Arabidopsis thaliana: one gene and its partner. The protein of the gene in region 2 interacts with the protein of the main gene of each other region in a pairwise test. Each region holds a gene or a part of one and is shown on either strand. Other genes may lie near its edges. The genes, in order: bbx23 and ZML2.

The links.
Region 1: the proteins of ZML2 (region 2) and bbx23 interact in binary tests that used the Arabidopsis thaliana proteins (3 or more experiments, as listed by UniProt).

The regions. Positions count from the first base shown.
Region 1 is NC_003075.7:6,368,310-6,371,909, forward strand, and holds bbx23 (B-box zinc finger family protein), read right to left. Parts: upstream 1,642-3,600; 5' UTR 1,218-1,641; coding exon 1,017-1,217; intron 946-1,016; coding exon 658-945; 3' UTR 520-657; downstream 1-519. Other genes in the region: ATHSP22.0 (HSP20-like chaperones superfamily protein), read left to right, coding at 2,228-2,815; AT4G10260 (pfkB-like carbohydrate kinase family protein), read right to left, coding at 3,177-3,311, 3,396-3,512, 3,591-3,600. UniProt on the Arabidopsis thaliana protein: Probable transcription factor that may be involved in seedling photomorphogenesis.
Region 2 is NC_003070.9:19,130,143-19,136,239, reverse strand, and holds ZML2 (ZIM-LIKE 2), read right to left. Parts: upstream 4,020-6,097; 5' UTR 3,574-4,019; intron 3,086-3,573; 5' UTR 3,065-3,085; coding exon 2,759-3,064; intron 2,586-2,758; coding exon 2,493-2,585; intron 2,404-2,492; coding exon 2,270-2,403; intron 2,162-2,269; coding exon 2,030-2,161; intron 1,441-2,029; coding exon 1,335-1,440; intron 1,222-1,334; coding exon 1,153-1,221; intron 1,057-1,152; coding exon 988-1,056; 3' UTR 610-987; downstream 1-609. Other genes in the region: MNS1 (alpha-mannosidase 1), read left to right, coding at 4,108-4,266, 4,601-4,648, 4,729-4,890, 5,150-5,262, 5,383-5,448, 5,589-5,763. UniProt on the Arabidopsis thaliana protein: Transcriptional activator that specifically binds 5'-GATA-3' or 5'-GAT-3' motifs within gene promoters.

The DNA of each region.
Region 1 (3,600 bases), on a different chromosome or scaffold from region 2:
AAGATTGACGGTACCGGAGCCGCGTCATGGAGAAAGTTTCTACAAGCCTTTTTGGTTTGCTAGTGGGATAAATTTTTGGTCGACCAGGAGAACAAAGTTTTGGTGTGTCGTGGTAAGCATGGGGTCTCCAACGTTTTTTTACACGTTGTGGGAGAAGATAAATGTATACAATTGGATCATGATGAGGAAGAATCTCAATGGTCACTTCTTAATCAGTTATGTTCCAACGTTGGTTCAAATCCAACAAGGTCTATAGTTCTTGTAGTGAGGCAAAAAGAAAGTACAAGAGCTAATAGTAGTAATCTATGACTGTCTCATTAAGTTATGCATTTTCTATCCAAGTCTTGATATTTGAGATAAATAATTATATTTAATCAATAATTATTTATTCATTTTTTAAATTTTGTTTATATATCTAAGATCGATTCAAATAGTATTCACATTTCTACAATTCTTGAAACTATTGGAACAACTTAGCTTTGGTTGTGTCGATGCCATGACCACTGACTTTAGTTGTTAAGTCATGGTTTTAATATTTGTTGTAACAAAAAGATTTGATTCCTCAACAAGTTTTTCTTCTGTGTAAGATAATATATTACAGAAACTTTTATTATTAAACATCAATGGCTCCGGAACCATGATGTTGTGTGTATATCTCTAAGGACTTAAGATTACAGAAGGATTCTTGTGTACTATCTCACCTGAGTTTCCAGCTTCAGTTTCCTCACTAGAGTACTGACTATTCAGAGACACTTTTGACTGAATCTGGTAAGTTTCAGAGCTAAAACTAGTGCTGCATTCGGAGTTTTCAGTCAAAGACTGATCAGAAACTTGTACTCCAGAAAGTAAGAATCTTTGGTGAGAATTGCAAGTGTGAATGGCTTCATCACAATCATTGCACAGCATTGCTCTATCCTCTAAGCAGAAGAAGTACCCTTTTCTCTCCTGCATATACATATATATGAGACATCGGTTAAAGAGCTCAGCGAGTGTTTAAAGAGAAAAGAGATTGGAACCTGGCAGATATCACATAGAGGAGCTCCAGAAGCTGTGGTGGCTGAGGCTGCATCTTTTTGTAAGGCGACTCGGTGATGTCTTTGGAAAAGTTTATTAGCTTCATGAACCTTAATGTCACATGGCTTGCATAGTACAGCTTCATCTGAACAACAAAGTACTTCTGCTTCAGCCTTTTCACACACTTCACATTGTATCTTCATCCTTCAACTTTATAATCCAAATCAATGTAAATTGCCAATACACAGACAGAACAAATGTTCTTTGACATTTATGAGAATTAGGACAAGGAGTGAATCTAAATATAGGAAACAAGAAAGAACAAGCTTAAATAAGTTCACATGTGTGGTGGGATCATAAGTTATATCAAAACCTGGCTCTGATACCAAGAGGAATTGATGATCTTTATTCATGAAAAGAGAGAACTATATATAGATATACAACGATATGTCGAAGACGAAATTTTTATCTCAATATGGGGTTATTAGACCAACTTTGGGTGGCATTTAAACCAATAAATGTTCTCCTACCAAAATCTCCATGACAAGATCTTTTTCAGAAGCTTGTATAGTTTTACTTTCTTTTGAAAACATAAATTGACAAACATAGCGACAAGCTTCTCTTAAGACACAAGCATGGCAAGCCAAAAGTAAAGGCAGGACCACAATATGCATAAAGACTGTGGAATTAAAAGTAACTAGCCATAGGGCAATAGAGGTCAAAAACTCTAAAATGTTGTCAGAAACTGAAATGGAGCATGGCATCATTCAAACTCTCTCCCATTCCTTTCCCATGCAGCAGCCAAAATTCTAAGACTCATCACAAACAGAATTGGTCCCAAATATCATAATGGGCCAATAAAAATAGGCCTGGATATAAATAACTATTAAGGCCCAATCCAATCCATAGTTTTTACATGAAGTCTCTGGAACATGAGAGAAGACCCTTAAAGGCACAACAAACTTATCCAACGTGTAGTAACATAATTAGTACAAGTCACAGCCAAAAAAGCTAGAACAATCTCAATATCTCTCTCTGCAAAACTCTACCAAAAGAAAGATATTTCAAGAAACTTCTTCATTCTTCATACAATGTGTATTATATATACACCAGAGAATTGAGACTAACCATCATAGAAAACAAAATAAGAAAGTGAAGTTAAAAGCCTAAAATTTTGGTTTCAACCTTCTACAATAAATCCAAATCACTAACCATGATGAAGCACTTGCTAAGCATCTTCTTCATAGGAGCTTTGTTGCTTGGAAACATCAAAACAAGTGAAGGGTCTTTGTCTTCTGCACTTGAAACTACTCCAGGCAGCTTGCTATCCGATCTCTGGCTAGACCGGTTCCCTGATCCATTCAAGATCTTGGAGAGAATCCCATTAGGACTCGAGAGGGACACAAGCGTGGCTCTGTCTCCAGCAAGAGTAGACTGGAAAGAAACAGCAGAAGGGCATGAGATAATGCTCGATATCCCCGGTTTGAAGAAGGATGAAGTAAAGATAGAAGTGGAGGAGAACGGAGTTTTACGAGTCAGTGGAGAGAGGAAAAGAGAAGAAGAGAAGAAAGGAGATCAATGGCATAGAGTGGAGAGATCATATGGAAAATTCTGGAGACAGTTCAAGCTACCTGATAATGTAGATATGGAATCAGTCAAGGCCAAGCTTGAGAATGGTGTGCTCACTATTAACCTCACGAAACTATCTCCTGAAAAAGTTAAGGGTCCAAGAGTTGTTAACATTGCAGCTGAAGAAGACCAAACTGCAAAAATCAGCTCTTCTGAATCCAAAGAACTCTGATATTGAAGAAACTATATATTACTTTCTGAGTCTGAAGAGAGTTATTATAAATCCAAGAGTTTTGAGTTTCATATTGTGTAAGCTAAATGGAGTGTCATGTTTTGTAACCTATCTACCAAAATCTCTGTAACCTTCTCTATATGCAATAAAATGTTCATTTCTTTATATTATAGAGCCTCTTGATTATTTGTTATAGAACATTAGTCATGTAATTAAAAATCAAGGTATATGAATTAGTTTGGAATCAATTTTGGCAGAAACTTGAAACTAGATTTATTCAGATAACAGAGAAAATACTCTGTGAAAACCAAGGAAATTGACAAGAGTGAAGAAACAGAAACAGAACAGAACAAGATTGAAACTATTTAGACTTAGATTTCATGAGCTTTTGAGCATCAGCTGGAGTGGGAAGTGCAGGAATAGCTCCTTTCTGAGTAGTACACACTGCTCCACATGCATTTGCAAAGGCAAGTGCTTCCTTCAGCTTCCCTTCATCCTGCAACATTCACATTACTCAATCACCAAAACTCAATTTCATATGCCTTATCTATGAACTGAAAACGTCTTTGGTTATACGTACATCGAGTATGGAGCCATCTTTTCCCAATGAGACAAGAAATGCACCAACAAATGAATCACCAGCTCCAGTTGTGTCAACTGCTTTCACAGCGTATCCAGGCACTCTCCCTTTGAATTTCTGCGCTTTTCGACAGTCGAAAAACTTTGTTTAGATAACTCCAAAACACACACAATCATGTCGAATTTGATCCCTTACCTTTGTGTAG
Region 2 (6,097 bases):
TAACAAAAACCCAAAATCAAAATCATCAAAAAGATCTTTTACAATTTTCCCTATTTTCGAAGATAATAATCTTTTGTCCACAAAGATTATAAGAATATTCTTTTATACCATTTATTTCCAAAGCTTAGCTCTCATAAATTAACTAATAACATTGTAATGTAGTTTATCAGAAAAATTGAAATGTAATGACTGGTATGCTAAAAAGTCAATATAAATATTATTAAAAAATGAAACTATGAGAAGATTTTCAGATTTTCATGATAAGATGAGACAATTCACTAGAAGAGAAAATGCAAGAAATAAGATTTTGTCTATTAAGCTAAAATAAAAACAAAAATGGAATCTAAAATATCTCTCACAAATTGGGATATTTTAAAGTCTCTTTTTTTTTTTTTTTTTTTTTTGATCTAAGGGATATTTGAAAGTCTTTTAGGCAAAATTCTGTGTAAAAATCTTTGCCACTGAAAACAAAGGAGCAGTCACATTCGCACTGAACCATTTTAGTTTGTCTCCTTGTTTTGGCAAGTTCCTTTGGCAAGTTCCTTTGGCTAATAATATCACAATTCACAAGCCTCTTTTTGTTTCTTGACTTAGAGAAGCATGAGGCATTGAACATGGTTCACTTTACATGAGGCTACTAAGTCTCCAAAACAACCCTGTGGTCATAAGGAGACTACTCTTTTGGTGAGTTCTTAAATAAAGTTAGTTTGTCTTTAAAATAGGGTAAAACACAGACTGCAACTAGACGTTACATCAGAGTATGGACCAATGCAACAACAGTCTATAAAGCATTTTTGAATCATAAAAAAAGAAGAAGCAAAACATTGCAGATCATTATCACTCAGATTACATTGTCATAGATCAAATCCTGATAACCTAAATCGAGTCAGATTCTTTCAAAGGGAATGATAAAGCTACAGAACCTGAGGCGATTCAAACTCTGTTGGGATCTTTCTCTTGCTTGTAATGGCAAGAGCCAACATGTCCTCACTGTGAGTTGCTTATGTCATTGGCCACTGTTATCATTATTTGATGATCAGTCTCAAGATTTGCATCCTGCAAAGATAGATCAGACATGCACAAGTTATGATAAAGACGAATGGATTCCTTTTCGTACAACAAATTGTTTGGTCAAAACATGATGTTGCTTACTTCATTCTTATTTAAAGGAAGATTCTGGGCTGTTTGAGGAGAGGCTTTGGATAAGTCCCTAAAAGCACCCTGAAAGTATAAATGTCGTCCTCATTTAGACAGACTAATCATCGAATCACTAGTGCTACAAAATGAGCAAGATAAAGAGAGTTGATCAAATTAAGAAGCAAGTATTGTCTTGCCTTGTTTGCCCACATAAGTCCACATGCATTGCAAAGTGTTCTTGGCCCGGCAGGTCCACGTCGCATCATTGGAGTTGACTTCTCGCCAATTCCACAGTGCCGACATCTTACAGGTATCAAGCCATTCAGAGGAAGTAAAATCAGATATGTTCTTACCAACTAAAGTAAGGCTATCAAGAAGAAAAACTCAAATCTACAAAGACTTAAACGACAATTGTCTATTCCAAAGTTATTATAAAAATTCTCAGTTCCAGGATACAATATTAGTCATCACAACCTGTCTTAACCAATCATCTATCACAGAAGTCATTTTGCTTCAGGCATGGAAGAGCTTTTATATAATATTTTGTCTGTATTGGTCCTTCAATGTTACCAATTCGTATAGGTCCATGCTCATGTTAAATATTACATATGCAATGTGTATGTCTTGATATTGAATCATTGATAGGTTTCAGAGTTCTAGTACCTCTACAACGTTTCTGAAACCAAAAACAACATCTAAGATGCTTAATAAACCTATCATCTCTACATTAGGATGGTTCAGTTTAATAACTAAGTCAGATGCTACATTAGGTTGGAAGCAAAAACAACTTCTAAAGTTGCTTAGCAAACCCATAATAACTACGTTAAGTTGGTTCAAGTTAAAAAGTATGTCAGGAACTCGCAGTTTACTTTCAAAGCATTTCTAAACTTACGAGATCTCTTGATGCTGAGCCTCACTACTTTCTATGGCCCAGGTTTGATTCGACCCCCAGCTAGATCCAGCAGATGCAGCTTCATCATTGTTTGACTTGGCAGATGTGAACTGACCTTTATTGCGTTGCATCCTGTATACCAGAAAACAAAAAGTAATCAAGATGCGAACCTTAATTTTGGGAGAGCAACCATAAAAGAAGTATAACTAGACCAAGTTGTTGATTTAGACATCAATGTACCTCAAAGCTACCTCCTTGCGGACTGTATACCGAATCTTCTTATCAAAATTCCTTCCTTTCCGTTTCTCTCGAAATCTGACCAAAGAAGCTAATCGCTGCGGAATACTAAACCTTTGAGGAGTACCAGGTAAACTCTGTTTCATTGATTAGTCAGTCAGTCAGTCAAGCAATGTATCAAGGAAGGGAACTTATGTCCCATAAATGCCATCATATATTTTATTACCGATACTCTGTTGTTCTGATGAGGTGATCCTAGGCCAGGAGGGGCTGCCTGAGGTAATTCACGACCACCCAATAATAGAAGCACAGCTTGAACCTGCAACAGGCGTCGAATAGCAAGAGGCACTCACACATTAGAATCAATAGATGGAAAAAACTCAAAGCTAACTAGATCCTTCAACCACTTGCTAAAATGTGGCTTGGAGTAAGAATATAAATTCTAATGGAATGAGACAATCAACGAACCAACTCAGTAACAACTTAACTCACCTTCTCAGGCAAGACACTGTCAAAAACGTAGACTTGGCCCTGAAAAGACAATGTTAACTGATCTCCTTGTTCACTACCACGGTCGACCACTTCACCACGATTGTCAGTTACATTTCCAGGGTGAGAAGGAATGTCTGTTTCCACACCCTCACTCATCCCACCAGCATTGCCATCATCAGCCTGGTCATCAACCATACCGCTTCCATTGTGGATGTGATGCAAAGCATGATGTTCAAATTGCACATGCATTGGATCTTGAGCTTCTCTAATGTGCATTCGAGCATTGCTTCCATGTAGGTCATCCATGGTTGCTTTTCATCAATCTACCTAATGATAACAGTGAAAGTAAAACAAATTAACATTAAAACTGGAAACTTCAAACAAAAACACCTAATCTTCATAAGCACGATTCATGGATGACCAGACAAATCAAATCAGCTCTAAGCAAAACATGATTCACATACTATATAACCTTACTTCCTCGGTCATTGGAGCAACTTACATATAAGTTCTAACTAACACTATACATAAATTCAGGAAACCTTATGGATCAATGCTTGTTTTCAAGAGATTAACACAGACTTCTAACATATTTGCATCAATCAGATTCAATCCAAAGTTTCAATATTTCCACGCTCTAAGCCTTACATAAACCATATTATACCAATTCCACAAACTCACTTATAATTTCAACAAACAAAATAAACCCTAAGAAACAAAAGCAAATCCTGAAACAAAGCGACATCCAAAACCATTGAAATATAGGTTCCTCATTACGACACACGAAACCAATATAAGAGTTAAGATGATGTTACCTGTTCGTGGGGAGCAACACCAAAAAGAGAAGAATGAAAGATGTTCGAAAGACCCAAACGAGAAACACCAAATAACACGACGGAAACGATGAAGATGACAATTGAACCGATGGATAACGCCACAAATAGAAGAACAGAGACAAACCAAACCCACCAGAACACCAACGAGACGAAAATGGAAACCAGATAGAAAGAGAAATCGAAGAAAGAGACGAACCAGTGGGGGCTAAAGAGACTCGATTGATTATTTTATCATCAAAAGAATAAATAAGCAAAAGTGCCGGAGATATAAATAAATACTTTTCTTTTGGTTTTTGGGTAAAGTTTCGTTTTTTAATTCTTTCTTCGTCTTCCTCCTTCTAACTACTAAAATCGGATCTATAACTTTTGTTCTTTGAGAGACTTATTTCTCTCTCGGTTTCTTACTCTTTTCGGATCAGAAATTTAAAAGCTTTTAACTTTTGTCTTGCTCTGTTTCATGGACACTGATTTCTCAATTGGTCTCTGTTTTTGTTGAGTGGGTTGAGAAGAGAGATGGCGAGAAGTAGATCGATTAGTGGTTATGGGATATGGAAATATTTGAATCCTGCGTATTATCTTAGAAGACCGAGACGTTTGGCTTTGCTTTTCATTGTCTTCGTCTCTGTTTCTATGCTTGTCTGGGATCGTATTAATCTTGCCCGAGAACATGAGGTATGTTTTGTCTAATGAAATCTGGTTAGACTCTGCCTAGGAGTAGGAGATAGTTCTTGTATCATAGCTTATTGGTAGGCCAATTCGAATTTTGGTGAAGTAGGTTATATGGTTTAGGCCTGGAATGGTTTGATTGCCTTCATAGCTCAAGGTCTATAAGTAAGACAGTTGGTGTTTTATTTACTAGAAAAGAGCTGTAATTAATATCTTCTGGACTCAATTCATGTATTCGTTTATAAGAAGCTATGTAACCAAAATAAGAAAAATGTCAAGGAAGTGAACAATTTCTCTTGTGATCATTCTCTCACTTGTCCTGCTTTTTTTTGTCTTGCAGGTTGAAGTTTTTAAGCTAAATGAAGAAGTTTCACGGTTGGAGCAGATGGTAAGATTAATATTTTCCCCTCACTCTAGGCTCAGATAGTCTTTCTAATGTTTTAGCTAACTAACTATATTTTCCGCTAGTTAGAAGAGCTTAATGGTGGTGTTGGCAATAAGCCTTTGAAGACTCTGAAGGATGCCCCAGAAGATCCAGTTGATAAACAGCGAAGGCAGAAAGTAAAAGAGGCAATGATCCATGCTTGGAGCTCTTATGAAAAGTATGCATGGGGGAAAGATGAGCTTCAGGTATACAATTATTTTCCAAAATACATTTCACCCTTGTGAATACGAAATCTAGTTTACGACGGACTCTATGAATCAAATTTTATTTTGACGTTTAGTGCCTGCTCTTCCAGTATCCTGTTGAGCCTTTTATTATGAGCTTATCTGAAGTTACCAGGCCTACAAAGATTTTGTTAAGAACTAAGATTATTTTCTTCCTGAACTCTGCAAAAAAAATATTGGTCTGAAGCTATTCTTGTTTCTTTCCTTTTTTTATTGTCAGCCTCGGACAAAAGATGGCACTGATAGCTTTGGTGGCCTTGGAGCAACTATGGTAGATTCTTTAGATACACTCTATATAATGGGTCTAGATGAGCAGTTTCAAAAAGCCAGAGAGTGAGTAATTGCAGGCTCTTCATTTATTCATATGTAACTGTTTTCGTCCCAGTTGCAAATCCAACTTTTTACTTCTTCATCTTTGCTAATCTTCATTTGCTTATTGTCTTTTATTTGCAGGTGGGTTGCAAGCTCATTGGATTTCGACAAGGATTATGACGCCAGTATGTTTGAGACAACCATAAGGTGGCTTTAACAGGTTTACTGTGGTTGTTTTCTGTAATTATCGTAGGAAGAGTCAGTTTATTTGCGATTATCAGTTGGTGACATAAGATGGGGAACGGATATTGCATCTGCTTATATTCTTTTTCTTTATCTGCCTTCAGAGTTGTAGGCGGACTTCTTAGTGCGTATGATCTTTCTGGGGACAAAATGTTCCTTGAAAAGGCTAAGGATATTGCAGACAGATTATTGCCTGCATGGAATACTCCAACGGGTATACCTTACAATATTATCAACTTGAGAAATGGAAATGCTCACAATCCTTCATGGGCGGCAGGGGTGAGTCCTAGATTACTGAGTGCCGTGTATGTTGTATTGTGTCATCTTGTGTCATGTAGATCTTTTTAAAGCCTAACCTTGGAATCCAATGATTGGATACAAATCTTTATTCGTTTCTAGAAAAAATGGCTCCTGAAACTCTGTGCACTTGTTCTGTAGTTGACTTAGGTTCCTGATTATGTTTCTAAAGGACTCCTTAGAGTCTATTTGATAGCTTAAATCCAAGTTCTGACCACTTTCTTAGATGATTCAACCCCGTATAAAAACTAAGATCTGGACTCGGCAGAAACAGCCAAGTTATGGTTTCTCTGTATGCAACAATTAACATTCTTGT